Xenopus tropicalis: one gene and its partners. The protein of the gene in region 3 binds, or shares a complex with, the protein of the main gene of each other region. Links are inferred from orthologs where the notes say so. Each region holds a gene or a part of one and is shown on either strand. Other genes may lie near its edges.

The links.
Region 1: g3bp1 (region 3) and elavl4 share a complex: the UniProt entries of both Homo sapiens proteins name them as parts of the TAU mRNP complex. The link is inferred for Xenopus tropicalis from reciprocal best matches to the Homo sapiens genes G3BP1 and ELAVL4.
Region 2: the proteins of g3bp1 (region 3) and caprin1 are in contact, whole or in part, in a crystal structure (PDB 8TH7), measured with the Homo sapiens proteins. The link is inferred for Xenopus tropicalis from reciprocal best matches to the Homo sapiens genes G3BP1 and CAPRIN1. Residues at the interface, in NP_005745.1 of Homo sapiens: Glu4, Lys5, Pro6, Ser7, Leu10, Val11, Glu14, Phe15, Arg17, Gln18, Thr21, Leu22, Met29, His31, Arg32, Phe33, Tyr34, Gly35, Lys36, Gln58, Lys59, His62, Leu114, Glu117, Asn122, Lys123, Phe124, Tyr125; in NP_005889.3 of Homo sapiens: Met363, Gln365, Met366, Gln367, Gly368, Pro369, Tyr370, Asn371, Phe372, Ile373, Gln374, Asp375, Ser376, Met377, Leu378.

The regions. Positions count from the first base shown.
Region 1 is NC_030680.2:95,688,148-95,699,179, reverse strand, and holds the start of elavl4 (ELAV-like protein 4), read right to left. Parts: upstream 5,751-11,032; 5' UTR 5,712-5,750; coding exon 5,688-5,711; intron 1-5,687. UniProt on the Homo sapiens protein: RNA-binding protein that is involved in the post-transcriptional regulation of mRNAs. Plays a role in the regulation of mRNA stability, alternative splicing and translation.
Region 2 is NC_030680.2:15,332,797-15,343,872, reverse strand, and holds the start of caprin1 (caprin-1), read right to left. Parts: upstream 5,808-11,076; 5' UTR 5,727-5,807; intron 5,549-5,726; exon of another isoform or gene 5,498-5,548; coding exon of another isoform or gene 5,450-5,497; intron 4,512-5,449; coding exon 4,374-4,511; intron 439-4,373; coding exon 376-438; intron 1-375. UniProt on the Homo sapiens protein: mRNA-binding protein that acts as a regulator of mRNAs transport, translation and/or stability, and which is involved in neurogenesis, synaptic plasticity in neurons and cell proliferation and migration in multiple cell types.
Region 3 is NC_030679.2:16,832,176-16,843,044, forward strand, and holds the start of g3bp1 (ras GTPase-activating protein-binding protein 1), read right to left. Parts: upstream 5,314-10,869; 5' UTR 5,242-5,313; intron 764-5,241; coding exon of another isoform or gene 745-763; coding exon 650-744; intron 1-649. UniProt on the Homo sapiens protein: Protein involved in various processes, such as stress granule formation and innate immunity. Plays an essential role in stress granule formation.

The DNA of each region.
Region 1 (11,032 bases), on a different chromosome or scaffold from region 3:
GTTTAAGACTTCTTTTTGTCATTCCAGTAGAGCCAAAATATTTTGCTCATGGGTCAATAAAACATAGAATAAACAGATAAACCACTGAAATCCCCAAACAGCATGCAGAAAGTAAGAACAATAAATAAATATTTGGAAATAAATCCCAGTATATTACTTATCTCTTCAAAGAGAGTATTACATTTTCCTCTGAAAGGCAATAAATCATAAAAGTCCATTTTAATTATGTTGACGCATATTTTTTGTTGGGTTATTAAGTGTCATGAAGCCACCAATATTTGCATCTTAATCATTTCAGTCTATGTGAATATCACTCTGTTTTATGGATGGCTGCTTTTGAACACTTATTTTTATGGGACGCAGTGATTGTTTTCCTGCATTTAAATTTGCCGTCCTTCAGCACACTGTTTATGTGACAACATACCGGGTGAGAGGTCAAGGGAAGAATAGACTGGACAGCTACCCCATGCAATGGATAAAGAGAAGACAAATTGAACATTCAACATCGTCCTGCCCCCATTTATACAACAGGTTCTTCAAATATTAACAATCTACCAAATGTTCCATACAGACAGCTGTGACTCCTGTCACAATTTATCGAGACCAGTGTTCTATATGTTAATTTAACCCATTTCCTTCAATGAGGACTTGGGAGCAGTAAATGTATTAAATATTTAACACAGCTTTCACGCTAGACATAGCAGACACTAGACATAGTGACTGCACTCAGTGAACTATAAGATATTACAGTTAGACTAGTTCTCCATGCTACCGGTCATGTAAATGGAAGAAGAGGTTAAAGTAAAACCAGTCGTCATTTGGTAAGATGAGTGCCAATGGTATGTATAATTTTGAAAACTTGCAAAAATGTCTTTTCTGCATATTTCTAAATGTTAATATAACATTCAGCATTATACACTTTATCCACCAGGTCACCCCTCAAGGTCACGTGTGTTTATCTGCAAGGGTGAGGGTTCTACCTCCATTTCCACCATTCTATGACTAGAAAAGACAGTGAACCAGGGAAAAATATTTTTTTCCTTTGCTTTTAAATTAATTACTTTTTCCCTTGACTTGTGGCCATAGTTCCAGTGCCATAGGTTGGTCTGTTTCTCTCTATGCACTTACATGAGCACACATGACACGAAGCTGAAATACATTCAAACAGTAAGTTAAATGCAGTAAGTGTATGTCGTTCACAATACATTTCTTAGCAAAACAAAGGAACTCCAAATTGACCTATGTATCTCTTTTCAGAATTTCAGAACTGCTTTGTTAATTAAACTTTGCTAATAAATGCTGAGGACCCCACATCACTAAAAGTTTGGTTCATCCCACTACTTTTATACAACCAATCTCTTCTTAATTAGTCACACTTCCCAACATTTAGACATAGAATAGCAGAAGGAGGAGCTATGTTATCTCTTGGGTTTATTACTCCATCTGGCAAAGCCACATGGAATTTGGTGATTATTTTGAAACGTTACCCAGCAAAGTGCTTTTTGCTTTCCCCTAAATATCCTAATGACATTGAAAAAATACTGCATTGCAGTACTCAGTCTACAGTGTTGTATCCTTAGCTGTTTTGTAGGCTAAAATAAATATAAATACATACATATATCCTGCTTAGAGGGGCTGTTAACTTAAGAAGTCCATGTATATCTAAGATACACCGTGGGCTGTTTCTTATAATTCCTTACACAGATACAGTATACACATTATTGGCTCCTGGAACTTTAGGGTCTAAAGGCAAAAAGCTTTAAAGGCAACGACCTACTATACCACAGAGCTTAGTGAACTAACCAGTAGAATGTATGAAGGTTGTGAAAAAATGACCATGCTGATGTTCTCTTTATTTGAACAAAAGGGTGTGTGTGCGTGTGTGTGTTTGGTGGTGGTGGTGGGGATCCATGCAAATCAGAGGCTGCTGAGAGACACTGAGATTCTCAGAACAAAGAAAGTGAAAGGAATTGGATTTAATTTCCCAGAAAAGAGAAGATCGCATCCCTGAAAATATAAATGTACATCCAAAGCATACGAATTAAATAAATGGTCCAAGTCATTGCAGACCCTTACTGCAGCATTTGCGGAAATAATTTGAAAATAGAAAGGATCTATAAAATCATTAATTGCACAAAACCACCAAAGGTTGTAACATAGTGGCTTATTACAACGTAACACAAGAAACAACTCAGATATTAGCTTGTCACAAAGAACTTTCATAGAGTAAATATTAATGGGTGTTGGGAACATATTATCTGTGGGATGCAACTACATCTGTACAGCATATTTCAATACATCCCTGTGATTTTCAATGGTTTTCTCCATAGAGCTCGGTACAGGTAAAGGGTCTATTATCTGGAATGTTTGGGAGCTGGGTTTTCTGGAAAAGGGATCTTCTGTAACTTGGATACCTGAAGCCTGCTAATAAAAATTTAAAAATGAAATAAACCCAATAGGATTGTTTAGTCTCTAATAAGGATTAATTATATCTTTCACTTGGATCAAGTACAAGGTACTGTTTTAATATTGCAGAGAAAAAGGGAATCATTTTTAAAAACAAGAATAGTTTGCTGAAAATGGACTCTATAGAAGATGTCCTTTCTGTAATTTGGGGCTTTCTGGATATGAGGTTTTTAGATAAGAGATCCCATATCTGTGGTATTTTGTATAAAAATTTTCAGCACAATGCAAGCAATTACAATAAACTAAGACAACAATACCTATGTTATCTGTATGGGCTCCTATACATCTCTTGATTGGGCTCCTATACATCTCCTATACATCTCTTGATTGGGCTCCTGTACATCTCCTATACATCTCTTGATTACCTCTTTTCAACAAATTTTTGTATGTTTAATCTGAAATCTAAAATGATCAGACCTCCTGCATAGGTTATAAGTGAGCGTTGTTTCAACAAACAACAAAGCATGGGCAAACAGGAAGAAAAGTTTGAATAAAGGAAACCGTGATCAAACCATGAGACCATGAGAACTTAAAATCATTTTTTTCTCTTTACAAAAGAATCAGTTGGTCAGTGTGTGATAGGATGGCAACCAATACACAGACTTATAACTGTTTACTGGAGCTAAATGAAAAGGGTAATTTTACCTCTTTTTACATTAGGTCTAATGGAGCGTACCGGAAAAGGGAACAGTATCATCAGTTTCTCAGGGAGTTCTGGGAAATGTGATTACAAAAGACATGGAGGAAGTGATAAATATGGAACAAATTACCATATTATCAGGCTCTCTGGCTAAAACTTGAGTAAAACTACTCAAACCATATAAGGAAACACTGGAATTTCTACATGCTGATAATAAGTACACCACAGCACATTTTCTAAATGAAATTGCTATACATTGCACATTATTGATGAAAATGTTCTCTGTTCTTCATAATAGTTACCCCCATTTAGCTCTTGGTGGGCCCATTCACATCTGTAAACGCCTTAAACCGCATACATACAGTACATACACATATATGTATGTTTGTAGGCATATATGTATATAAACGTGTGTTATCTTAAATTGCCTATAAAATGCATGTTTACATATACATATTTATATATTTACTCACACATATTTATATCTCAGTATACACTGCTTTCATTGATCCACTGCAATAAGGATCAAAGTCAGAAATTACTGTATCTTTGTACTCGACTGGAAGGGAACCTGCATTCAACAACAATACATGCATTCCCATAGCTGCTTGAATATTGCAAAACAAGCTTTATTGGCTATACATTATTTACTTACTAAATAGAAATAAAAATGTAGATATTGTGTGCAACAGAGTGTAGTATATCATACGATTACAGGGTTTTTCTGTTCTCCTATACTGATGTTTGACTATATTTCATGGTTTAACAAAGAGCAGATTAGAAGAGAGTAATTGCTGCTCATAGTTTTCTAACTTCCACATAATGTGTTATATTTAGTAGCTGGTACACAGGGTGCAAAAATAAGAGTAACATTATGATCTGAAAGTACTTAAACACAAGTGTATATGTGGTTGTAAGACTACACAGGTCAAATTAAGTCAAGTTTACACTAAATTCCATCTATTATATATACCATTCTTTAATAGTGCAGAATGATATCCCCTTGAATTTCACATGTGCCATGAATGACAGTGCATAACAACTCAACTACAATGTAAATAAATTGCCATTTATTGCTCAGCCCTCAAACTCGTAGTGAGGACCGAGGGTTTAAAAAACCATAGCCAAGTGACAGCTCCATGCAAAGAAACCTTTTTCTTTTTGTTCTTTTTGGATTGCAGGGTAAAAACTCAGTGAGAACAAAGGGAACTGTGAAAGGTTAGACTGGAAAAAGTGTCCATCTACATCTGAGAAACATTCTGCTATGTGTTTTAAAGTGACTGTTTTATCACTCCATCCAGAATCACTGGCGGTGGTTAAAACTCCTTTCTGACTGATCTCAAAGACAGAAAAGCATTTACAGAAACATTTTCTTTTCTTCTTGTGTTCCCACTGAAATTGCCTTTGTTCTTATAGCAAAATGACTGCAGATCTGTAATTTGGCCGTAAAGTGACTGCATGATAAAAAAATAAAAGTACAGAATTCTGCCCATTTACACATGGCAAGCACAAATGTGAGATGAAAAGAAGCATCATTATCTACACTCTAGGAACGGACAAGATCTTGCTTTGTAGGCAAAAGGGAAATAAAGAGAGGCACCCTGGTTACGGACGGACAGATGCTAAAATATACTGTTCAGCGAATCACTGTACATCTGTGGAAGCAATGTAATTAGCACCTATATGTAAAGAATAATTAAAGTTGTGACTGCCACAAAGAAGGGCATAATAGAGGTAGCCCCAGTCTTTTTTTGACGCGCTCGCAATATTCCCAAATGATTGCCACCTGCTCCCCTATCTCGGCTCCCTCCCTGGTTGTTTCCTCGGCAACCTTTCACTAGCTTCCCCTTGAAGCTATAGCTTTCAGTTCGACTGCTCTGTCTAATCTTGTTTGTTTTACAGCCATCAAAACAAGCAGACAGACAAAGATGATTCCTTAAGAATGGGAAAGCTGGGTGGGGAAGAACGGAGCCTCAATTTCTAGAAACAAGAAAGTGTTTTGCGGTGCAAAACACTACGGCAGGTTTCAGGGGTGTCTGAATTGCAGTCAGGGGAGTACATTACGCCTGTGTCCCCGCAGTGTTCAATGACATGCCATGCAGGTCACGACTGCAAGATTTAAGTGTGACACTTTACACTCATTGTGAGAGACCCATACAAAAGGAACGTCAAGTAGTTACATGGTCTAGGTTTGGGGAAAGAAAAGAAAGGACAGATGTACTTATTTAACATATGTGCTTTCTGCGGCAGACGTTTTTGCTTAAAGGCACAAAGCTCTCAGCGGCAGACTGGGGGGGGGGGGGGGGGGGGCGACAACTGACACGTCCAAAGACTCATGTAATTCAAATGAAGATTACACAGCATCAAGTAAATCTGTGATGGACATGCATTGACATTATAGTTGTCAAGGTACCCTCCCAGACTGGTTGAAACACACGCTGGCAGCGGCAGGGAAGGCGATTGAATATAGCCTAACTGGCAAAAAAGGTCCAAAATCAAAATAACTGCTTACATTCAGAAATAACCATGGGTGGGAAATTAGACAAAAATAGAAATATACAATACACTCTAAGTCACTTACCATCTTCAAGCCATTCCACTCCATCTGTGACTATAGAGATGGAGCCTTGTAGCTTGTCACAATGTCAGAAGCAAAAAGAGCGTTATGTAAAAGCTGACATTCCTTCTTACAGTACTGCTGGCAAGCGATGCTACGAAGGACACACACGCGCACACACACACACACAGTGCGCGCTCAAACACACGCCAGCCTCCTCCTCTTTTTATGAGGTCACGGCAGGAAACTCTGAAATACAATATGCAGCATTCACCGAGTCCCTATAAATCATTCTGATGAAAGATTACCATACAGAACGCGCAGCCCATCTGAAATTAGCAGGCGAGATGACATTCTGGGGGCTTGGTCTTTCTACATTTTTTTGGGTTCCTGGAGTCTTTTGTGCAAAAACACAATGGCAGAACTAAAATCTTGCATATAACCCCAGGACAGGCATAGACAGATGAACAGACACACAACAGTCTTTGAAGGTGTTTTACTGATAAGGATGATGCTATCAAGTAACATAGAGATGACCTTGAAAAATTATATTTCTTCTAATCAGCAGATTTCTAGGAGTCAAATCAGTGAAAAAGCGGAATAGCACTGCTTAAGCAACAAAGACCAAACGTAAAGCAACATATTCACAAAAGGTGCAGACACAGAAACAACAGATTCACAAACTGAATGGAACTTCAACACAAGAGAGGATTACGTACCATCACCATTCTTATGGGATTAAATTGAGTCTTGCCGGACTTCGATATTTCTCTTCAATTTCTCAACAGACACTTCGGGATGGTTTTATTTATTGAAATAATTTTGTTTGTTTAATGTATAATATATATTCTGTTTGTTCCTAATCCAGAGAGCACCAAGAAAAAAAAAAAGATATATACGCCTAAAATATTTCAAACAAAAATAACAAACAAAAATAAATAAATAAAACCAGAAAACAAAAATCTAAAATTAAAAAAAAAAAAAAGAAAAAAAACAAAGGGAGAAAAGGGAGAAGCAGAGAATGTGGTTATGCCTCTCAGAAGTAGGGTGTAGATATGAAAATAGGCTTGAGCCTTGCTTGAAAATTGGCTAGATGCTTGCATGCATTTATGGGACTATCTGTCACATGAAGCCAGCGTCTGGTTGGCTGTCTGGCCTGGAGAAGGTGGGGCTATATAAGGTGCTATTGAAATTGGCTTCTAGCAGACTGAAGATCTTAACTCCTTGTCTGCTGTTGCAGGCAGGCTTTTTAGATGTTCTTTTGACATGAGACGCTTCCAGAGCCCTGGGGCCAGTGGCTGGGGGATTAACAATGAAATGTTCCTTGCATCACATAAATAATGACTAGCTGTATCCTTTAGACTCAAGCATATCATTGTAAACTGTTTTAGTCCAAATGGCTGTTGACTGTACTATACTTTATTATTAAAAAAAAAAAAAAAAAATATATATATATATATATATATATAAGGGTGAGTAAAATAATTAAATAATTGTGTGTGTGTTGTGGTTGGTGACAATAATATTACAGTAATTGTAGTTCACAATAACTGGAAGGCTATTACTTTAGCAACTGTTATATAGATACTATCCACCAGCAACAACCATGTATTTTTTTTTTATCAACAACCCTGTTTTCCATTTCTTTTTAAGCATATGCACTTCTAAACATTTTCAAAGGAAAACCCCAAGAGTTATAATTAAATTATGTGGCAGGGAATTTACATTTAGAGAAATTTAGCTCCCTGGCACCCAAGCAGTTAACAAATGCACCTCCAACTCTGGGCCTTTAGCTCAGAGTTTTTTTCAGGGCTGTGATTTTCAACCTTTGGGCCTGCAGCGGTTGCTGATGTAACACCCTAATGGTTATCGGGATGCTGGGAATTGTAGTTCAGTGACAGGGGATGCTGGGAATAGTAGTCCATGTGGGTGGCCAAATGCTGGACACCATTGTGTGCCTTAGGATTAAATAGCTTTGCCATTTTCTCTGGGATATGATTTTTTTGTTGTTTTCTATTTTAGGGGAAATGTATGTAAGATTCCAGGTACTGGGCCCTATCTATTTCAAGGTAGGAGATCTCAGCATCTTATAATCAGAATGTAATCCTTTAGCAACTTCAGCATTGCAACTCAGTGCATTATATCTATAGTAATATAATGAAAAATGTATTTTAAACTTAAAACTAAGTGAAGTTTGGGGCAGTTTGACAATTGTCATAAAGTTCCTTGACATACACAAACTCTGCAATGTACACAAGTGCCCCAGTCCCCATTTATTACAGGAACATAAAATGGACACCACTCTCTAAAGCATTTTGTCCACATGCTAAGAGGTCACATTTCTTTAGCCCAATGAAGATTGTGCGTGATTAGAGATTCTTCTATATTTTCCATTTCTATAGTATGGCTAGTAAGATACATAGTGACAACCAAAGATTAAACTGGAGAACTGTTAAGAGAGCATAACTCTAGATTTTGGGAACTATTATTCCCATCATGCTCTGTCAGGCTGACTTTAAACCATCTGGAGTGCCTGTGTTGATCAATACTGCTTAAGACTCATTGAAACAAGTATTTTTCTGTACTAAAATCCTATACATCAAAATTGGAGCATTTTTAAAATAGCTTGAATTCAATTCTGTTGTTTGGTATATCCATATGTTTCTTTTGTCTCCATGGCTGAGCAGAATATTAAAAATCAATGCCTACCCTCCAGCAATCACCAAGTGTCCCATGAAGCAGAGGAATTTAGAAACCAATCCCACAGAGGAGAACAGTGTCTGTTAGGAGCTCACAGGTTTAATTTACAGGGTAGTCAATTCACTTCTACTATAAACATGTTAGGGGAAGGCACTGCTAAATCTCAATTTCATGGTGGAATGAGTATAACAATATACAGTTTCTTTCTCTTGCAGCATCTCCATTTTTCACTAGTACCCAAGTGGCACAGATGCATTAAGCAGTAGGATCAGCACGGGGTTAAGTGTCTGTATTATATCTGCACATACAGTGGTGGCGCTATCTTCCCAGCCTAAAAGTTATCCATAAACTACTCAGGTGGCCAATACAATGTATACTATGAAGCTGTTTTTATAATAGCTATTTTGCACTTGTATAATAACAAAATGGTACTGTCAACTCCCCTCTGTTTTGTATCTGTCCTCCTTATGTATACATCTATTTACACACCGAGTGCAAGATAATTGGACACAACAAAAGGCAAAACAGAGATTCTGTATAAATACACTGACTGTACACACTGAATTTATTTGGCAGATAAGAGAAACAGTTGTTATACTCATCTTCTTTCTCAGCAAATATCCTGATTTATCCTGTTTCAAGGTCACAAAAATAATCATTTCTGCAATAGCTGAATGCATGTATATCTTACTAGCAATACAGGGCAGAACAAGGAGACATACGCAAATTGATTATGTTATACCGGTATGGACATGTTTCCTTATAAAGTTATATTCACAGATAACAATTCTTGCTTTTATAAAAACAGTCTATAGTTCATATCTATTATATATGCACAAGAAATGCATGTGTAGTGCTACTAACCTTTAAGAAAAAGTACCCTGACAATGTATTAATGTGACCTTCAAAGGGTTGTATACAAAGGTAACTGTATGTGTAGTAGGACAATAATGGAGAAATGTGTTTCATGTCTATTCAAAAGTCTATATAATATAGTTAAGGATGATGCTTATTTTGAGTGCAGAATTGTTAATAGAGAATATATTCTGCATGCAAAGGAAAATTTTGTATTTCATACAGCCAACCAGCTCAGTCTCCCTTTCAGTTTGTAACTTTCCCAAGCAGTGCAAGCACGCAGAGTGATATAGTTAATACCAGCAATAGTTACCATCGCTCCAATGACTCTGCCATGAGCCATCCCAAATTATAGAGCAGTCCCACTGCCTTCTACACCTCTTTCAGAGCACAGACATAAGTAGAAACAAATCACAAAGGAAGAATTTTTCATCAGATTGACAGAACGCACTTGTAACTGCATTTCCAGAAAAGTGACGTGTCCCTCTACATCACAAGCGCTGAAGTGAAAAGTATGCAGACTTCCAAGCTTCATCCAGAGGGGGTAAAAATAAAAATCACAGTACAAGAATACAAAGACACATAAAGGAAAGTAAACTTCTCCAAAGCTTATCAACCAGAATCAAATCAAAGGACAACTGAATTTCCTTACCCTATATGAGCAGCCTTGTAAGTCATTAGTAGCAGATGCCGGTAAAAGAGATGGGTTCACGGCGTATCTCTTAGCCTGACTCCAGCACGCATTGTTCCCAAAGGTTACAGACATCTTAATATCACAAGCAATCAGCAGTATCTCTTACCGTCCAGATGGGCTACACCACAAGCCAATTCAGCATTAATAAACACCTACTCTGGGCGATTTTAAAGCCCCACTTGGTACTATCACAGAACAAAAACAGGTGACTGACGCACTCATTAACCTCTGTGCTGTCACAAGGACCAACAACGGACTGCGCTGATGAATCCTTTGGCTGCAGAGAGGTTTGAACTTCATGAAAAAAAATCTTGTTTTTTTTTTCTTGTTGTAAAATCATAAAATTACCATTTAAATGAGGCTAATTCATCTTCGTTCAATAAAAAAAAACCAACAACAATGTAATCATTCTTCATTATTGCAGTTAATACTTCAGCATGGAAAATTTTAAGAGTCGGATAACAAAGTGCCAAAATGTTACCTCATTATTTAATAAAGCAGCATTAAGGGTCCTGGTGATTTCAAACATCTTGCCAGAGAGTAACAAAATGAAGCCTTTGCTAAGCTCCGTCTGCAAGGGGTCTGGCCGAATTGTTCTTTCCAAGAGAGTCAATATGACGATTCCCTAGAGTTCGCACATCAGAGCTTCTATTCAGTGAGCTGGATTTTCTCCCTGATCAAGCACACAGAGTACAAATGCATTCAGCAGCATGGACCGCTCTCTTGCAAGGTTACACTGCTACAAACATGGCTGGTGTTAAAAGTATTCTTTCAAAGTAACAATTCAAAGCATCACCACCAGGTGGTTTGAGCGCTCACATGCAAATAACCTTGAGGAGAAAGAGTTTCTTGGTTGGATGTGCAGATACAGGTATATTGACTGTTTGCAATCCCAGCTGCTGCTGCCTCTCCACAACCCCTTATATCACACTATTGCCATAGACTCTGTGTTAGGAACTGCTCATTTCACGAGTGTCGCAGCATAACACAGACATCCTTTTAACTACCATGACTCACTGCTTCAATGTTGCTTATTGATTTACGCCTGTTAAAAAATGTAATGCATATATTTAGTGAGATCTTATTCTGAGCATTAATATACACATGCTGAAAAAAGCAA
Region 2 (11,076 bases), on a different chromosome or scaffold from region 3:
GATTTTGGCATATAAAATGGTATTTATTTATTACAGTGATAAGGATATTAGGGGTTGCTGTGTTGTGTGGGGCTCAATGAGTTTGGATTCAGAAGCTGGAGTTCCCCTTTAAAAAATACAATGTATTTTAATGTACAGTATATCCTATAAGAGTTCATATAGACATTATCTATATAAAACAGAATGATATGGGTAGTACAGAATCCCCTTAAAGGGGGATTTTATTCAGTTACAGCTTGCAAACTTAATAAAAACATTATGGCCTCTGCTCAAACAGTTCCATCTATACAGTCTTTGCCTGGACAGTGTGTACAAAGCCATGGAGCCAGCGCACTTAGCTGGCATTAGTGTAAACATTTTAAAATGCATCTTTACCATTTGGTCCTGATTTAAGCGTTCTCCCTTGTTTAGCCGATCCTGGTAGTCGTCCAGCTTGCCCTACAGAGAGAATAAGAATGGATTTAGAAATAGAAACAGGTACGTGGGCGACATAAAAATGATAGTAGGAAGGATGTTGCAAAGGGCCTATAAACGTCTTTTTGCGAGGTCAGCAAAACCAGCAGCGATGCAGATTGTGTACAGCACCACGTGTGTAGCACTGGCAGTCAAGCCCCCAGAAAAACCAAGCCACTTGGTCCATAATCTGGCTGTGATGGAGGATGCAAAGCTCATAGGCCCATAGTGTTAGTACTCAATCAATTTGGATTGCTATATAGCAGATGGGCGGCCTGATGTAGACTAAAGGTGACCATACATGGTTGCTTGGTGAGGTTGCGAGTAGATCTTCTCCCAATATTCCCTACGGGTGGGCGACATCAGGCTAATTTGGTCGTTTGGCCCTGGGGCCAAATGATCGAATTAAGAAGCGGGTATAGGCGCCAACGATCCGATGGAAAAGTCAAACCTGCCCAATGAAGATTTGGCTGCTTTCAGGCCAGATGTCGGTCAGGAAGGCTGTTAGTGCCCATACATGGGAAGATAAGCTGCCGAATAGGCCAGTGTATGGCCCCTGTAACTAGCGGCCCCACAATGGATCCAGTCTTCCTTGCACTACACAGTATGACAAATAATGCCATTAAAAAAAGATCAATACAATTAGCAGTACTAATGGGAGTGTGTGCTCAGCAGATAATAATGCCTCTGCCGCCCGTCCAATGTGCTTATTTGTCTGTATGCCATGGTGTAATTCTAAAAGAATTATAATTGAATGTATGGCTATGGCAGAGGGCACTGTAGCTTGTGAATGGAAACTCCCAGGTAACACTTCCAAGCCAGAGTTTATATCTCTCAATAAAATAAACCTTGTACATGATATGAAGCACCTTGCGAGGGCTCAGTAGTGAGGAGTCTATAGAGGCAACGTCATGGTACGAGGCTCTGTATTGGGAAACCAGTGAGCAACACTTGCCAGCACAGGCATTTCTGAACTTTGCTCATGCCCTGCAGTAAGGATGGGAAAGATGGGAAGATGATGCAGCAGAGAAACCCTGACCTTGGAGCGAGTGCAGAACTAGGGTAAATGAAAGTGAAAGCGTTGGTTGGGATGCAGTCGTTCCCCTTAGAACCAGGAACTACAAATGCGGCCTCTGGGCAGAGCAGGTAATGACACCACCCACATGGTGCAGTGTAAACATCACTCTCCAGCTGCACCTCCCAGTTCCACCAATAAAACCCAAGTGCCTCGAGGGATGTTGGGCTCTTAGTAAAGAAGAACTGCCATCCTGGGCGACGAGTATTCGAATACAGCCACATGCAACGGATCTTACCAACTTGCTGGGATTAATACTTTTGAAATGTGCGGAGCTCCGGACTATGCGACCATTTCCTTCCGGTGCTGGCCACGCCCCCCCCCCCCCCGGGATTAATACTTTTAATGCTGGCCGCAAGGCGATCAGCAAGATGCAGGAGGGGGTTGTACATACAGAGCTCATTAACGCCAAACTAAGTCAGCTGATGCAGCAATATCCCTGGACTGTCACAAGGGACCCCTGGGTGCTCATGGGTAACGTATTAAGTGGAAGAGAAGCGCCAATGTGGGGGGCCCAAGGCTAGCAATTATATTCACTGAGGGGGGCCTAATAATTTGCCACTCCCAGTAATGGGGGCACTTGGGCTAAAACACGAGTAAAACACAAGGTCACTCAGTCTTGCCGACCGTCAGGGCTCTGTGTTTACATTCATACAGCCAATGTATAACTTGCTCCTAAAATCTGTTCAGTGTGAGGGCCATGATTAGGGGTTTATTAAGAGCCACTGTAACCGACAGCAATTGTTGTTCTTTGTGAAACCAGATATTCCGAGTGCCTGGTGAAATTCCTCATGTTTTCATTAACAGTGAAACTTTGTAACCCGAGTAAATCATACAACTGGTTGTGTAGGTGCGGAAAGCAGGACTCCCAGGCAATCCGGCAAGGGCTCAGCGCATTGAACAGAAAGCAAAAGATTATTTATCTTTAGTCACGAGGAAAGAAACAGCCCTACCCGATACTGTGATTGTAGCCATCTACCACTAAGTCTGGGTGCATGTCCAGCACATACTGAAGTCACACTGTGCAAGCCTGAAATATTGTGCCATGGACAACCCTAGTGCCTAAAGCTGGCTACATGGGTACCAATGTTATTGTAAGGAATCAATGCACCAATGGCTATGGGGGGGGGGGGCTCACCTATGCCAGCCAACATGCATGGGATCGGCAAGCCATCAAAAATACAAGGTACATTTGTAGGATATAATTGGTACATGTATGGCCAGCTACGTTTGTTAAAATATTCTCTCTATGGCTAGCTGGGGGTTTGGGGCTCAGGCAGGTTTCAAAGTCATCTGCCGATACACCATGTCTTGTAGATTGTAAGCTATTTTGGGCAGGGCTCTCTTCACCTCCTGTATCGGTTATTGGTTGCTTTATATGCTACTCTGTATGTCCAATGTATGTAACCCACTTATTGTACAGCGATGCGGGATATGTTGGCACTTTATAAATAAATGTTAATAATAATAATGTCAGCCTGTGCATGGTGCGACAGCAAAGGGGAGCGTTAACAGTAGCCGCCACTCCTTTACTCTTCCTGCGGTTTTAATCATTTTCGCTCTTTGCACAAATGATTGGATCAAAAGAAAAGCTGCCATACTGAGCATGGTCCCCTGTACACTGTTTGATCTGCTTGTGGGCTAGCCAGCGTGTACCCAATCAGCCAGCATTTGACTCTTTAAGATGGCCATATATGGGCAGATTTTAGCTGCCAATTTGGGTCCTTTAGAATGATTTGGCAGCTTATCAGCCCGTGTATAGGCACCACTCATGGGCCAGAATTGGGCAGATGTGATTTTTCCATTGGATTGGGAGCCGCATCAGCACGTTGATGCGGCCCCCGATCAGACGGTGCCTTTGCCCATCATTATAATTAGATTGTTTGGCCTAGGTCCAAACGATAGTTAGCCCAATTATGCCCACCTTTAGGCGGGCATATTGGGAAAAGATCTGCTTGCTTGGCAACCTCGCCAAACGAGTGACTCTTCCTGTGTATGGCCATCTTTAGTGTGGCACAGCAGTTAGGCTGCAGCCTTACGGGGCTGACTCTCTGCCTGCAGATAAATGAAGAGAATTTACCCCTACACTTCAAACAGCATTTCCACGTTCCACTGCTTAGGCTCAGGTGCAGGCATACTTGTGCATTGCGGAGCCAAAATCCGCTCAGTCTGCCTGCACAAAGGCCCACAGTGGCTCCGGGTGCAAGCACATCTGAAAGTTGTTTGGAGCATAGGGGGGAATTCTTGGGCCCACATTTATTCACAGGCCAAAAATCAGCCCCATGTTGCTTAGCACTAACAGTGCTTGGGTTCTAGGTTTGATCACAGCCAGGGTAATATCTATAAGGAGTGTGTAATTTCTGCTAGTGTCTGGGTGGGTTTGCTCAGGGTACTCCGCTTTCCCATCACACAAACACATACAGACAGGCTAATTGGCTCCTGATAACCATGACCATAGGGACCTTAGATCAGAATATCCATCTGCTAGGGCAGGGACAAAGATGAACAATGGCTATAAAGTGCTACGAAATAAGTTGGCACTACATAAATTAAAAAGAATAATTGAGTTAGTTCAGAGTGTAAGGAGGAGAGGGAAACTATTGACACAAATAGTTGTGTTTAGTAGGGCTAATTTATATAGTGTGCAACAGCAGTAGAAAGCAAGGAGGTAAACGGCATAAACAGGGCAAGGGATTAGATTACTCGGCCTGCCGGATGATTAATGTGCCAGCAGTCCCACAAGCTTCCAGTGTCAGATCAGGCACAGCTGGCTTCCTTGGTGCCTCTCAAGTTATCCCGGGCCCCAGCCTTCAGCGGCACTGGCTAAAGCATTAGGAGCACAAACCTTTTTCTTTTCCAGATTTCGCAGCTTCTTATCGATGATCCCCAAGATCTGCTTCATGGCTTCGCTCTGCATGTTGCACGTGCCGGGAGCTGCATCACTGGAGCCCGGCACCGCTTTGCTGCTGGTGGCTGAGGGCATCTGAGAGAGGACAAAGATCAATGTTATACATCAAAACTACTGGGAGCTAAAGATCCTACATTAAACTAACGCTCGGACTTGAACAACAAACACCCAAACACTGAAGATCCTAATGAATGAAACACAGGAGCTCACAATGGGACCTGAACGGTACAGCTGGCATCACACTAGCCCGGGCATTACTTTCCAACACAACAGTGGGGTAGTTAGACCTATGGCAACACTTGCACCTATGGCACAGAGGGTGTTTCTCTGCCAGCACTTTTTTTTTTTAAATAGAATCCACCTGTCACTAGCACTACCAGCAGATCCAGCCACAAAATGCATTCACGCTTTCTGGCTGTATCGCCTGGCACGACTAGCGACAGACACATCCCATGTAACCAACGTGCAGGCACTTCTCTGCCAGTCGAGATTTATTTGGTTAGGGTCCTGTCCCAGGCAATGTTCAACTGCACCCTCGCCCTGACTGGCACCGTATAGGTATAGGTAATATAGGTACCTGATGGCCACCCCCCTAAACCTACCACCTTAGACAGGGGCCCTTGAATATGTATATATAAATACAGCCCACCAATGAGCCATAGTCACCTGGCAAAGCCGGACCCTACGGTACAGAGCAGCGGATCCGAAGCCTTGTGTTCCCACTTTAATATGTTTTGGGGGCAGATATCCCTATTTAATCCAAAGCACATCCATAACCCCCACCCCAGAACCCCCCTAAAACTCCTAACCAGGAAAGATGGCTCCTTTGTCTGAAGCATTAGTTTAAGGGCAAACAAACTAGCTTTATTCGATTGGACATAGGCCTACAGTTCTAGGCTGGCTGCTGGATCTGCCATACTTCTGCCCTAGGCTGAAACTAACTACAATGTACATAGAGACGTATGGAACAGCGCTCCCGGTGGCAGAACGCTATAAAGCTCAATCGTTCCAACCTGTCCCCGATCCGGACGGCGCCTCTTTACGTACCACACACGATTCATATCGCCATAAGTTGCCGCTGGGCGTTCTGTCGCTTTAACTATCGCGCCGGTAGTTGGCGACTAAACCCGCTAAATGTCCCCTCCCACAACCGCCGGTGACGCTTTGGTCTCCGCCCTCTCCCTCCCGTGAAGGAAAGCCGCCCTTCCTTTGTACTCCCGGTAAGTGTTTCCCGCCACCCTTCCGGTAACGGGAGCTTCCCGTAGCCCCGCCTCCGTCCCACTCCCACACCTTTCAGTGTCTGCCGGTACAGGGCTTGAGCGCTGGTCGCTGTGTGATCTTAAAGAGGAGTCGCTGCCACTCCGCCACTACCCGCCGCACCGAGCTAATGAGGCCGAGACACAGGAAGCGGAGGGATTTTACACTCGCAGGGCCCTCGTACCGGGCTGCCCTCCCAAGTGCCTGATTCCAGCCGACTCCTTACTTTCTCCGTAGCGCAACCAAACCTCACACGAACTGCTTTTCTTTCTCTCAGAAACGGGGTAGTGCTTACACTTTCATCTAAATAGGCAAACCTGTCCAAATGTGTGCGGGTTCTTCAGGCACCGCAAGGCCTACCCAAACGGACAATGGAGAGATCCGGCAAGCGTGCTGAAGGGCCTCACCGCGCCCCAAGAGTTAATTGTGGGCTGTCCGGCAAATGCCTGCCCAGAATAGCACATGGGAGTGCGATGCACTCAGCATGGCATGTTCTCTTGTTACACAGGAGTGTTGCTCATAGGCCTGGCATTACAAAAAGAAAGTTTCAAATGTTTATGTTATGTAGGCACAGGATTTAATGATGTTAGTAGTAATAAACTGAGGAGTTCAAGTTCATTGTCAGGCCGTACTGTTACTTTCAAAATCCCATTGTTCCTTGATGTGTAGCCACGGTTTTCACTAAACTACTTCATACTTTGCCACACATGGAACACTTTTCTTCATTAAATTTTCCCATCCTCACCTTTCCCCACCCATAGAGAGCTGCAAAATACTTTCCTTTACATCAGGGATCCCCAACCTTTTATACCCCTGAGCCACATTCAAATGGAAAAAGTGTTGGGGAGCAACGCAAGCATGAAAAAGGTTCCTGGGGTGCCAATAAGAGCTATAATTGGCTACTTAATAGCCCCTATGTGGACTGACAGCCTATAGAAGGATCTGTTTGGCATTATACTTGGTTTTTATGGCACCAAAACATGCCTCCTTACCAAAAATTCAAAAATAAGCCCCTGCTTTGAGGCCATGGAGAGCAACATCCAAGGGGTTGGGGGGCAACATGTTGCTCACGAGCCACTGGTTGGGGATCACTGCTTTACATGCTCAGTACTGGCTGAAGGGCTACGAGTTGAGACCAAGTCCCAGGGTTGGACTGGAGGGTGCAGGGCCCACCGGGGCTCCCACCCCAGGGGCCCTACAGGTGCCCCCGCCGGCCGCATCCCCTAAACCCCCCCAACTTCCCATAGGGTCCTCCACGGGGCCACTGGGGCCCACAGGGATTTCTTCTGGTGTCCCAGCAGCCCAGTCTGACCCTGCCAAGTCCTGACAGATTCTAAAATCGGCCCTGGCATTTAATGTACAATATTTTATAAATAAATGGACAAAATAGCCCCCACAGACCAAATAAAAAATGTAGTCTATGGCATCTTACATTCGTATTAGTCCAGGCAGGGGGTGTCTGAAGTGAAGGGAATTGACAAATGACTGCTGCATCATTCAGTGCAGGTTTACAAATTAAGCTGCCCACACACACACTAATATAAATTGTACAACACAAAGTTTCATACAATTTTCGGACCATGTGTGATTTCCAAATTCTCATCCCGACAATTTTCTTACCATGGCAATTGGTCTTTTAGTCAATTGGACAGGTTGGAACATTTCGGTGGGGCAACTATAATATCTGTTGCATGTGTTGCCTATCTGACGATCTCCTACAACCTACAATGTATTTCGGGGGCCATAACTTTTTTATAATTGTTGTCTGGCAATTATTAATGGCAAAAACATTGTCAGATTTGTTATTTTTAGGACTTTAATCCTGCAATTTCAGTCTGAATGTTAATTCGATATCGGAATGTTTGTCAATAGATGACTAAAATCTAAACGTGTATGGCCCCCTTTAGTTTGCTAATTTGGAAATCCAGACAGGCAGTGTTGGGCCAGACATCACTGATGTGATCATGCCCACCCCCAGAATCACTGTCAGACCCCTGGTAACATCAGTCCCGCCCCCTGCTCAGGTTTAACCACCGGCAAAGGTGGCGACCCTACCTACACCTTGTTTGATGCCAATGTAATTAAAGGGAAAGAAAGATAAGAATATAGGCTAGTATTTTTTCCAGAAAAGGTGGCAACCCTGGGGCAGGATAAAAAGCTGTATAATAAAAGTCCTTATCAAATTAAACATGAAACCCAAATTTATTTTTATATTAACACATCCAACCCCATTATTAAGGCATTTAAAAATTCCAGCTGTCAATCATATATTGCCTGCCCCGCCTCTATGCCTTAGGCAGACACTTACTTTCACTTTCCATTCAGCACTCACTTTCTCCCTCCCTTCTCACCATCTAACTGCGTAGCAAGTGCATGGGCATCAGGTCCCCCATTCTGGCACATACACAACATTTTGGGGTGATACAAAGCTTGCCTTAATAACAGTGCCCACAAAATGGCACCTGCCTGCTGGCTGTGACTGTGTAATTCCAAGACTGAAGGAAACAGGTCCCCTTTAAACTAGTGTTACATTGGCTTTATCTAGGTTTGTAGAAATATGTTAGGGGCCTGGTCAGTAAAACAACAGCTGAGGCAGAGTATTGAGAACAAAACAACTATGTATTTGCTGGTAAGTTTAAAGGGGACATATAGGATAAATGGGAAAACCGAATAATATACGGTGCTGGTTTCACTTTGGGCTAAAAATAAATATTATCTGTAAAATGGCCCCTTTATTGGGGCTCCCTACAGATCCTCTCAGGTCCCTTGCCCTATTCATTGAAGAAATTCTGGACCAGGGGGTATACTGTCCCTTTATTAGAAATGCTATAAATAGTTGAAAATAACAAATTATTTATTACTTCATAAAAGTACATAAAAACACTTTGGGATACGAAATAATGTCTGGACCTTGATAGAAGTGGTAGCCTGACACCCATGGGACCCTTGATGCATTATTGCACAGACAGAACTACTGACAAGGCCTCTTCCTGCTCTTTGTTTGCTAAAGCCCTGCCCATGGACTCTGCACGTTTCAGACTTGAGGGGGCATGTACGGCATGAGTTCTGAAGCCCCTTCTCCTTCTCAGACTGGGCTGGGCCAGGTGTGGATCAGGAAATTCCCAACTGGGCCAGCACTGCTTGGTATGCATTGCGTCTAGAGCTAAGTTGGCCTACATTGATATACAGCACTGACCTTAGGTTATAGGCCGGCAACTGGACTCGGTATTGAATAGCACAGCAACTCCCAGACAGACATTGCTCTGATTCTAATAAGGGATTGAATCACTCTCCAGTGTACTATATGTATCCATATGTATGTAATGGGGCATAGGGGTGATGTCAGGCAGACCTGTCTTGGGAGTCAAAATAGGCCCAAAAAATAGTGACTGACTATGGCATCTTACAGCAGCCCCTCTGGCATTTGCTGGAACCCACAGATTTCCGGTCAGGGCCTGATGTCATGTTATAATAGGCGTTGTATACAAGTCAGTGAGCGCACATAACCAGTGGCACTGTATGAAACACTTGTTCCAACAAATAGACCCCTGGGAAAATGTGGGAGTCAGCGAGTGATGTGACTCATGAGCATAATGTTCTGTACACAATTTCTCTTTGCTTCAGTCTCTAATTTTCTTCCATTTGAGCACAAAGCTGGTTATTTGCCTCTTGACTGTTCGTTTTGCCTGGAAACTACCTGTTACCTACCTTTTTTCTCTACTATAGAGATACCCTACATAAATCAAGGATTATAAAAAACATCCAGTATTATTATGAGGTTATCGCTCACTATAGTTGTCTGATTGGCTCCATAGGGATGCCTAATGCAGCCGTACTGCATTAATGCTGACTGGCCTGACTGCCTGATGTCTGGTGTGAAGATAATGCTTGCACTACTATCTTATCTCTAAATGATGGATAGGAGGATGGAATAGCTGATACATACAGTACTAATTACTGTGCAGATACTGGCTGGGAGTTAGAAAATACTTAGGCTAGTGCCCCATTCCCAGCCTGTGAAAAACGCTGGCCGAGAATCAGTCCCTACGCTGGCGCCAGCCTGCTACCTTGCCCGCACAGGGAAGCATTGTCTCCGGCCTGTGCAGGCAGATATGGCGGGTATCTGCTGGAAATGTGAAGTCTCAAGTTTTTTGGCTGATATCTGCCGTGTCTGTGCCCGCCTACGCCCAGGCAGAGATTGCACAGGCTGAAATCAGCCTCCATGTGACTTTAGCCTAAGGATAGTCAGCCCCAATGCTGACATTAGCTTTCTCCTTTGCCTGCACCGGGCACCACTGTGTGGGTCTGGTTGCTGCCATACGTGGCAGATATTGTAGCTCAAACGCGATCCGGAGCAGAAATGCATCCCGTGTGGCCAACACAATGGTTCCAAATGCAGGCAAAAAAGAAAGCTAATGTCAGCGTTGGGGACTACTTCGGCCCCCATGTGGCATCAGGATTACAGTGCCAACTACTCATAACTCCCAACATTTGAAAAATGGAAAGAGGGACAAAAAGAAATGGCCACACCTGCTTTTGACCACACCTATTTTGCAACCACACCCCCTAAAGACCACTCCCATTTTACTAAATTTGTCAGATTAGTTAAAGTTTGAATACATTTCTGGGGGTTTTGGGGTTAACTTTCTGGGCTCTCTGCCAAAAGCTACTTTGGGAGTTACAGCTGTGAGGCATGTCTCCTGCATACTAGATATCTGGGGAAAGGTTGACTTAATGCTCATACCATGATTGGGGGGGGTACAAGTTTAAATACTGCTTGCGCCATCTCCTATTTATTTGGGTACAGTGTTTACTGTTGAAATTCTGCTGTGTGGCTGACTAAAGGTGGAAATACATGGGCCAATAAAAGCAGCCTTCATGGATTCTGTCAGTAGCTTATTGGCCAGTGTATAGGGCCCCACCAATGGGACCGACTCCTTAGTATCTTTTAGCCAATCAGAAATCCATGGCTAGTGTCATTAATATACACTGCAGTGCTTCAGAGGTTTATCTGATTATAGGGGTTACAGAAATAGGGGTGCTTTACTGGAGACATCTCATTACCTTTTTCCTAATTAGCTAAAATGTCTTTGAAATTAAGCACTCAACTTCCTTGCCATATATCTGATCCTTTAATGAGTGCATTTAAGGTCTCTTTACACTTACTAGTAAATTGGTCAGTGATTTCTGTGACATAATTAATGCTAAGAGACAATTCCCAGCATCCTCTAATATTAGTAGGTGGAGAATACTGGGATCCCTGCTCTGCAAGCTACAATTTGCACCCAATTCAAACCTATAAGAAAGGTGCTTTACAAGTGTGGGCACAACTCCCTTTGGCTTTGCATTGCAGGAAAAAAATGCAGCTTTGAGTCTAAATGTT
Region 3 (10,869 bases):
ACGCATGCTGGCATAAACTGAAGCAGGTAATCGGGTAATTGAACACTATCTAAAATTATTTCAATTGTACTTTTTAAGATGATTTTCTAGCCATGGGGCCCTTGCCTTACACCCCAAAAAACAGCCTCTCAGACTCTGCTTGTAACAATTCTAAAGTAGATTTCCATAGCAAAGAGAGAAGTGCGTGCTAAATCAGTATCAAAAAGACTACATACTTTCAAGCACAAGTATGTAGTCTTCTTGATACTGATTATTTTGCGATAAAAGGAGGTTAATCAGAAATCAATGGCATGATTACAAGAAGGCTGTTATTGTGGCATAAACTTAAAGGCAGGAGGGTCAAAGGGTCCTCCATCCACCTTTCCCTAATCACCTTTTCTAATCTGCAGCTGCCAACATGATATATTTATGAAGAGTTCACAGAGGGTCACGCCGAGTGTCCTTTTATTAATTATTTGATTATTGAAACTTAGCAGTAGCGACTGCATTTCCCACCCTAGGCTTATACTCGAGTCAATACGTTTTTCCAGTTCTTAGGTAAAATTAGGTACCTCGGCTTATATTCGGATTGGCTTATACTCGAGTATATACGGTAAATAAATAAGAATAAAAAAAAAATAAAGGTAAAGCTCTACTGTGTAAAACATACCTGTGGAGAAAGTCTGGTGCCTGGTTAAGCAGAGTATAATACTGCCTCACAAATTCCCGCCCGACAAGCAGGGGACTTGGCTTCTCCATCACCATTTCTTTGGTCAACTGAAATCTAAACAAAAATATTAAAAATATAATTTAGGCCAGGTCTGGGGGGAAAAATGGTTTACAAAATGCAAAAATATAATCAAAGCAAATAATATGAAGAAAGCGATTACCATTACTGGCACAACTATAAGGTCTCTGGCCAAACCAAAATACATTCAGTGATTTCATCAAGAAGCCTTGGGCCATCAGATCAGCAAAGTTTAACGCATTGCCAAAGTGCACAACATACCAATGGATTGGCATGACTGAAAGCACTACACAAGCCTTCCAAATCACTTTCATTTTTTGGCGTTACTGTTCCTTTAAGCAAGGGGCATTTTTAGACGGTCCGTCATCTGTTTTAGTGTAGATTTACCTTAGAAGACAAATCTCATGTGCAAGCACGCTGCCAGCACAACGGTAAAACGTTTGCAGACACATAAAAGGTTAAAAGACGAGTCCACACCTGTTAAATTCTATTTTTTTTTTTTTTACAACAAAACTGTTTTAAATCATTGATAACTGAAACAGCTAAAAATTATATGGGCTAATGTTCTATTAGCTATAAAAATGTTATGGCAATAGGTAACTTAAAAGTTGCATGACAAAAGTTTTCTTTTAAGGGACGATACAGCTTAACAAGACTGCACAGGCTTAAGCAACACATTCCATTAGTGTTTTTAAATAGGGAGGGCTAACATTAGAAGTTGCAACACAGCTTCTAACTTAAATGAATACAAGAAGCCTAATGAGCTTATTACAGTTTGTGACTTCAGCATCTCTAAGCCTGCTTGTCACATGGCTCAGATTAATTACTATGTAACCATGCAATAATGGTTGAATTGTTTCTAGCAACAGCATACAAAGACAACAAAATTCCTCTAAAATAACGCCAAGGAAGTCAGGTCAAAAAAGGTGGAAAACACTAAAGCAAAATAAAATAAGATAAGCTACATTACACATTGAAAGCTTAGCCAAGACAAGCATGACTATTAATGGCAACTGGTAATATCTCCTGCTCACATTTCTTAAGACTGCTAGGAATTCGGCGAAAGCCTATACAAATGCAAATTCAAGGAGAAGGCTGGAAAGCTAAATTAAACTACATGTTATAGTTTCTCTAAGAAGGGGCATATTAGGAAAAATGCAGGAAAATTTCTGTAATATGATTAGTAAAATATCCAAGAGAAATCATGATTGACAGTCGAGTATGTGTGATGAAGTCAGCATAACCAATTGCCACCGAACAGCCCCAGGACAATATAACACTGTGGCTGTAATTTTAACATGAAGTTTCTTGAGAAAAGCCCTTCTAAAAATGATAGTTTAAGTGAAGGCACACCTATAGAGATGTATGTAAATAAAATATGGATAATCTCTATTAACCACTTAGCCACAGGGCTGCACAGCAAGCATTTCCTTCAGTATTGTTATAGCTGCAGTGCTTGAGATACTGCTGCCCGGCTCATACACCTCTCCAACCGCTCCTCCTCTGCCATGCCGCTCTGCCAATCCCTGCACTGGCTTCCCCTACCATCCAGGATAAAATTCAAGCTATTGACCCTCACATTTAAAGCAGTCCATAACTCTGCCCCACCCTACATCTCTGAACTCATCTCTAGGTACCATCCAACCCGCTTGTTACGCTCCTCTACTGACCTGCTCCTCAACTCCTCTCTCATTCCCTCCTCACACGCTCGCATTCAAGACTTTGCAAGGGCTGCCCCCCTTCTCTGGAATTCGCTCCCACAAACTGTCAGACTTTCTCCCAATCTCTCTGCCTTCAAGAAATCTCTAAAAACACATTTATTTAGAGAGGCTTACCCTAATCTAGTTTAGCAATACCCTGTGCCCCACCTCTCACAACTCTGGTCATGCCCATTACCACACCTTGTGTCTCAACCCTTTCTCCTTGTAGATTGTAAGCTCTTTTGGGCAGGGCCCTCTTCACCTCTTGTATCGGTTATTGATTGCTTTATATGTTACTCTGTATGTCCAATGTATGTAACCCACTTATTGTACAGCGCTGCGGAATATGTTGGCGCTTTATAAATAAATGTTAATGTAATGTAATGTAATAAGGTGTTTATATTGTCTGGGTTTACTCGTGTTATGATTAGTAATTGCACAGTGCAGACCTTCATGACGGCTGCTGCAGAACAGCTTAGGACAATAACATGTCAAGATGTGCTTCACCAATATTCCACCAATAAAGTTTCATTATAATAATCTGGTACAGCACAATTAAATGGTATTGAGTATTTCCTGCACAAATTACAGCAGAAACGTGAGACCCACTGGCAGTTAGGCAGGTTCATGAGTGGCAGCAAATTGATCGCATACAGCTCTTGAAAGACATAGTCATAAGACTATTAACCCTTCTGGGATCTAAGGAGCTGTCAAATCAGATGTCAATTTAGATCTGGAACAGGGATGTCTAAATTGCAACAGGTCTTGATACTAAAATTCCAAAACCTTTAAATGTGTCTTTAGAGCCACAAGAATATATCTCCCTTAGCAATGGGCTGCTTTAAAGAGCCTTCCCCTCACTTAACCTAGGCGAATGTCCATCCCGCACCATGATATTGCAGTAGCCCTCACGAGAGAGACTGGGCTAAAAGACTGCTTGTTTATTTCTTCAGCTTATTTGTGACCTTGGTAGTGTAGACTTTACAGTGCTGAACAATTTCATTATAGGCAGGCATTCAAACCTTTGGAGTAACCATGCTGAAAGGGAACATTTAAAAAAAAAAAAAAAAAATAATAATAATAATAATAATAAAGAAAAGGTCTATTAATTGACCCACACAAACATACTGAAGTATAGAAAGAATATTGTTGAAGCACATCTTGACAAGTTATTGTCCTAAGCTGTTGTCCTAAATCTTTTGGTGCACTGCAAAGTATTTTTGCAAAATTATTTACAACCTGCACCCAACCCTAACACATAGTGCCCCAACTATTTTTAGATTTTACACTTTTATTAGAGGGGTAAGGGGAAGTTGAAGAACTAGTGGGGCTTGGAGCAGTTGGGTTGGCGGCAAATTTGGCTCAATACTCACAAATTGTTGGCACGAATCTGTGGTTTTCAGGGAAGCCCACATATCACTACTGCAGAAAAAAAAAAAACCTCCCACATATGAATCACAATAGAGCCACTCCCCTGTAATGGGGTCCTCCTTGAGGTGTACAGGTTGGCAAAGTTGGGCAAATGAGCCTCTGTGGGGAACTGAAACAGTATAAAGAGGTTAAATTCTCCTGTAACAAATCAGATCTTTGGGTAGCACTTCTACCGTGCCTGGTTCTAAGTAAGGCAATATCGCCAAGGATTTTTGCCAATGATATTGCCATGTCATACAGGCAGGTTAACTGGGTCCTGATATAACTGCCCCCACTGTGTAAACTGATATAGTACTTATATTGTAAGCAGCAGTAGGGCAGAAGCTAATGGGAATTGTGTATAATCTCTGTATATCTATGCGTAAATGTGCTGGCACAATAGATACTTAACTTTTAGCCATACAATATTATTCTACAACCTGTGGGCATATGTACACATGTATTGCCACTGCACGGTTCCATTGCTTTAGGCTGACTGCACAAAAGATCAGAAACACCAGAAGTGAAGAGGAGCTTAATGTTCAATCATACCCAATAAGGAGACCCCCAAAACATGGCATACATACTCATTCAAATGGTCAGAATCTGGTCAAAATCAGCCATGTTGGACAACCAAATCTGGGCATGAATGGCTTAAGTCTGTATGTTGACTAAGTTGGAACAAAAACATTAACAAATTCTTCTAAGGGTACACTTTCCCACCTCTGAAATTCTGGCACAGAGAAAAAAATAAATATATATATTTATCAGTAGTCAAGATGGTGACCAATAACAATCCCTGGGGTCCTTCCTCAAAGAAGCCTAACAAAAGAACATACTTAATGTATGGCCCTCTGGAAGCCCCCTAGGCTTCAAACGGAGTCTGACAGTTTTCAGAATGGCTGACCTTGCCATCGGAACCGAAGTTAAAGATAAAGTGAGGGCCCTTGCAATGCAGTAAGTCTGGAGCTCCCATTGAGGGAACATAACTGCATAGAAGTTGGATTAAAAGATAAGACTACAACACAGCCTGAAAGTGGTGGAAGCTGGTAGTAAATCCCTTACTTACTGACACTAACATGTTATGGAATAGGTACTGCATACTTTAATCTACATAGTCCCTAAAGTGCCCCTGTGATGCCGAGTGCCCCTCTCTGCCGACAGTAAAACGGTCCTTTCTGCCATAAAACAAAAGCACACGGGTTCGAATTCATCTTCTCCGTCGCTTCCTTGAGGAGCACACCGCGTCTCTATACCAACCCAATAAAGGCCGCGTCCACCCGAGGCAAAGCGCGCGTTACGTCAAGGAAAGACATGAGGTAATGCAGCGACAAAGGCACCGTGTATCAAAAATATACGCAACGCTCTGATAGAGTAACCTAAGGATGTTTAAGGTCTTCGTACCTGTGAAAGGTCCGGCTTGGTGCAGGCTTGGCGCTCCGTAGAAGCCTAGATAAATTTACACCTCACACAGCGTCGGCACAAGCAGCGGCGTGCTCAGCTGCCGGCTACATATACTAACGTCGCAGCCAAACTTGCTGTTCCTAACTACCCAATCAAGGCGCCCAGCGCAAGCACTTCGGAATCCTATTGGGCTAATAGGCGGAAAATCACTCAGATCGACAACACATAAAACCAATAAGCTAGAGGGAAACCCGCCTATGGTTACAGCCAGCAGCCAAACGCAAAGCAGAATACAGCAGTAAAGACAGCCCTTCTGCTCCTACAAGTTAGCCGAGCGCTTATTGGTCGGAAGATTTCTCAGACACAATGCTAGTGTGGTTGTTGAAGCATGAGGGACCCTGTAACCTTGAGCAGGAAACCCTGAGTGAATATAAAGAGAGGCGGGAAAAATGTGACGCTGGCCAATCCCCGAGCAGATATTGCCTTAATAGACAGGACAGAAACGGGGATTTTCTTAAAGATAAATGTCTACATTAACACAAGGTGGCAGAAAAAAGCACATAATCCTGCCAACAAATATAAAAACAGATAATACAAAATAGTAATCTTAATAGTTAGTCAAATGGAAAAAACAATGGAATTCAGAAAATATTTCATACCTACGTAGGGATCTCCAAAATTGGGCCTCTAGGATGATTCCCCTAGTACAGGCTCCCAAGGGTGGTTTGGGAGGTTAAGAGTTAACAGGGAGTAGCCCTGCAGTTTTAGTTAGCAGCCACTGGGTAGCGCATTAGGTATATAAGGGAATGCAGCCATGTGCTGCTAGGTCTTTCTGCCTGGGACCCCCTCTGGACAGAGGTTAATGACAGGCTAGTGTTTAGATAGTAGATCTGGAGATAATAGCTCACTCTAGGGGGCTGATTTACTAAGACACGAATTCCGACCGAATTGGAAGAATTCCGATTGGAAAACGAACATTTTGCGACTTTTTCGTATTTTTTGCGATTTTTTTCGGCGCCTTTACGACTTTTCGGAAATTATCGCGACTTTTTCGTTACCAATACGATTTGCGCGAAAAAACGTGAGTTTTTCGTAGCCATTCCGAAAGTTGCGATTTTTTCGTAGCGTTAAAGCTTGCGCGAAAAGTTGCGCTTTTTTCGTAGCGGTAAAACTTAAAAGGCGCGACGTTTCGCGCAAGTTTTAACACTACGAAAAAATCGCAACTTTTTGCGCAAGTTTTAACGCTACGAAAAAATCGCATCTTTCGGAATGGCTACGAAAAACTCGTGTTTTTTCGCAACAATCGTATTGGTAACGGAAAAGTCGCGATAATTTTCCGAAAAAATCGCAATCGGACGCATTCGGCCCGTTCGTGGGTTAGTAAATGTGCCCCTAGGAGTGGGAGACAGGTTATTTAGTACGGGTAGTCATCACCCCTACAGGAGTGGGATAGCACTCATAGCTGGAGTCAGGTAAGGAGATTACCTAATCCAGTGGGTGCTTGGGCGTGAGGTCTCAGAGGGGTGTCCGCTTGGCGGGAGTACCAGGGAGAGCCCTAGAGAGGGCCTTCTGGCGTGAGTACCAGAGGGAACCCCAAAGAAGGATCATCTGGCGGGAGTACCGCGAGTAACCCCAGGGAGAGAGGGTCTCCAAAGGGAAGTGTGTGTAACCTGACATATAAGTGTGCTCCTGTATAATCTACTTGTCTGCAAGTAATAAACTACATTCTACTGGTTCAACATCATACCAGTGTCCTGGTCTCTTCGTACAAAGACGATCCTCACTGCCTGGTAAGCAGCTACCCCAAAGGGAAGGGGAAAGGTACCGGGAGTTGCAGGGAGTCCCTGACCAGGGAATACAGTACAGCATTAAGTTCTCAGGAGGGGAGTTACAGTTCAATCTGTCCCTAACCTGGGTGGAGGCACGCCATTAAGTAAAGTAACATCTGTTCCCCCAAAGTAAGTGGGGCTCAGGATCCCTGTTAGCGCCATAAGATCTCAGCAGGTAGCAGCACTGTCACTAAAGTGGGCTACACCTAATTTCTCCATTTACCCATAATATAAATATTTTACACTCCATAAAAGCTCTAGCAAAGAGGTACCGGTAAAATAAAAATAAAATAATAAAAATACCGGCCTCTATATTACCTATTAATTACACTGGTATCATGCTGCACCCCAAATACAAAAACTGGCAACCTTTCTGTAATTAGATATTACCTGCATCACAGTAAAACCATTTTAAGGCCTCCCAAAAATTTTTTAGGGATGAACCATATTTCATCCACATTATTGAAACTGGGGTCCCACTGGTGGACCCATATGATTCGAGCAGTCTGCTTCCACAATTGATATGTTGTTATGGCACAATTTATGCTGGAGAAGAAAAGGGTTTATTAAGGTGACAAGCTGGGTTTCCCCTTATTTTTTGTTTCATTATGAGACTGGCTTGTTATCAATCTTGTCTTGTAGCTAGAGTCCCATAATCCCAATGGCAAAAGTTGATTTGAGGCCTCATCCTTATCATGGTTGCCATTTTTTGGTACAAATGCCAGCCTTTCTGTTATGTTATCTTTCATTCCAGGTGGCATGGGTCGGTAATACCAGCCAGGTGGCAACCCTACTGTTCTTAGATCTGTCAGTCACACACTCATGCTAGGACAGCAGAAAGATGTTTATTTGCCAGATCCCCACATGGCCAAGTAATTGATTATCAAGTAAGCTGGCCATTTAGGTTAAGGTAAAAGGGCTCAAGAACTGCAAAGAGTCCTGCTTGTCCCCTTCTGGCTCGACGTGGAACTGGCATAGCAGCAAAAATTGTGCTGTCTGGAGTTTTTCGATGTACAGGCTGTTGGGGCTGGCAGCCTTTTTATCCATCCCAAAAATTTATGTCTTCACCCAGGGAGCACCCCGATTTCATTAAAATTGAGGGTGACAGCAATTTCAAGATTTAGTATGGGATTCATCATAACCCCAGAAAGATTTACATTTAGCAAATGCCTTGGTAAAATAGAATTCCAACTTTATGTATCCCAGGGGATGGCGTCTACACGTACGTAAATTCCAGGAAAAATTAAAATCTATTGGTCCCTACATGTGGCATTGTGAAATGGCCCCATTACACTACAATGTTGATTTCTTTCTCTTGTGAAAGATCTAAATATTATTTCCCCTGGTTGAAGCCTGTATTTTAGACCCACTAATCAGTGTTTCATGTCAAATTGCTGCAAACTATATTGTCAGTAACTATGGACCTATTGGCCCTGGCACAAATTTTTCAGTTGTTTAAAAAAACATAATAAATAAGTAAATAACTTTAAAATAAAGAGAATGAGAAGCAATTTAGTCAGTGCCTCAAAATTTCTCAAAATGCCTATATGGGTTTTAAAATGATAATCACTATTCCAAAGGCTAAAATTCTGTAAATGGGAAGTGAGCCACAGTGATGACAATACTGACCATTGTATCATTATTATTCTACCTATTCATTATTATAACATTATCAGCAATGCACAAGGACACAGAAAGGTATTCTGCTCAGAAAAGTACAAATGTTACAAAGAGTTTGAGTCCAGAATATCATATATTTAAAACAGGACCCCCCACTTCTTATTGATTTTGGATATGTGTGAACTCAAAGGCCTACAGTAACTACAATAGGGCCTTGATACCTCTACATGTGTCACTTCCCTTGCCCCTTATATTTCCTGCACATCCCACAAATGTGTCTGTAAGATTTCTTTAATTGTGCCCTTAGCTAACAAAAGTTGTATTGACATCTCTCTTATATTTTTGTATACATTTGCAGTTCACATGTCATTGTGACCCCCACAATGACATGTGAACTGCAAATGTATACAGGTATAAGACCCCTAATCCGGAAAACCATTATCCAGAAAGTTCCAAATTACGTAATGGCCATCTCCCATAGACCGTTATATGCAAATAATTCAAGTTTTTAGTAATGATTACCTTTTTCTCTGTAATAATAAAACAATACCTTGTACTTAATCCCAACCAAGATATAATTAATCCTTATTGAGGGCAAAACAATCTTAATGGGTTTAGTTAACAGTTATATGATTTTTTAGTAAACTTAAGGTATGGAGATCTAAATTAAAAAACAACCCCTTATCCGGAAAACCCCCCAGGTCCAGAGTATTCTGGATAATAAGTACCTGTACTTATAAGATGTAGCTCATAATATTTTTTACTTTTTAATAAAATATAAGTTACAAATTAATAAAATATAAGTTACAAAATATACAGGTATGGGATCCCTTATCTGGAAACCAGAAAGTTCTGAATTACGGAAAGGCCATCACCCATAGACTCCATTATAAGCAAATAATTCAAATTTTTTAAAAGGATTTCCTTTTTCTCTGTAATAATAAAACAGTACTTTTTACTTGATCCCAACTAAGATATATATATATATATATATATATATATATATATATATAACGTATATACTCGAGTATAAGTCGATCCGAATATAAGCAGAGGTACCTAATTTTACCTAAGAAAACTGGAAAAACGTATTGACTCGAGTATAAGCCTAGGGTGGGAAATGCAGCAGCTACTGCTAAGTTTCATCAAAATAAATACCAATAAAATTACATTAAATGAGGCATCAGTGGGGTATATGTTTTTAAATATTTATTTGAAAAAAAAAAACTGTAAAGTAGCTCTGTAAGTGGAAGGTCAACAAAAACAATTGTTTTATCAACAATGATACCTTAAGAGTACTCAGCAACCAAGCTAAAACACAAAGGGGCTGATTTACTAACCCACGAATCCGAATGGGAAAAATTCAGATTGGAAAACGAACATTTTGCGACCTTTTCGTATTTTTTGCGATTTTTTCGTATATTGTTGCGACTTTTTCGTAGCTGTTACGACTTGCGCGAATTGTCGCGACTTTTTCGTAGCCGTTACGATTTGCTCGTATATTGTCACGCATTCGGATGCTTTTCGGACGTTCGTGGATTAGTAAATGTGCCCCAAAGAGTTAAAATCCTTCAAAACTATATATAGTTTATATAGAATATAAAGTGAAATGTCTAGTGCAGAATGGGTCAGGTGAGGATGGTAGATGAAGATAAATTTGGGAGCGGGCCAGGGCACTGGAGGGTCTGGTTGCAGGTGGCCTAATTTGCACACAAAGGACAGAGGGTGCTAGTTTGGAGGGAGACTTTTTGAGCACATTATGGGTGCTGAAAAACTAGGCTTATACTCGAGTATATACATTATTGGAGGCAAAACAAGTCTTATTATTCAATATTTAAATGATTTTTAGCAGACTTAAGTTATAGAGATCCAAATTATGGAAAGATCCCTTATCCAGAAAACCCCAGGTCCCGAGCATTCTGGATAACAGGTCCCATACCTGTATATGTTTCTTTATGTTAATATATGTAAGTGCTGTGAAATGTGCTATGGGAACTCTTTGCTCACTTCAAAATGTTTTACCTTTTTTTTTGTCTAGCTAGCAACGAGAACACAGAAGTATGAGATTCTGCTTTCTGATTCTTGGTTGGAACACTTTGCCCCTTACACTTCATCTACATCTTATCCCACCCCCACCACCCATTTATCTCCCCCTTACAGAAAAGCTAAGAATGAATTT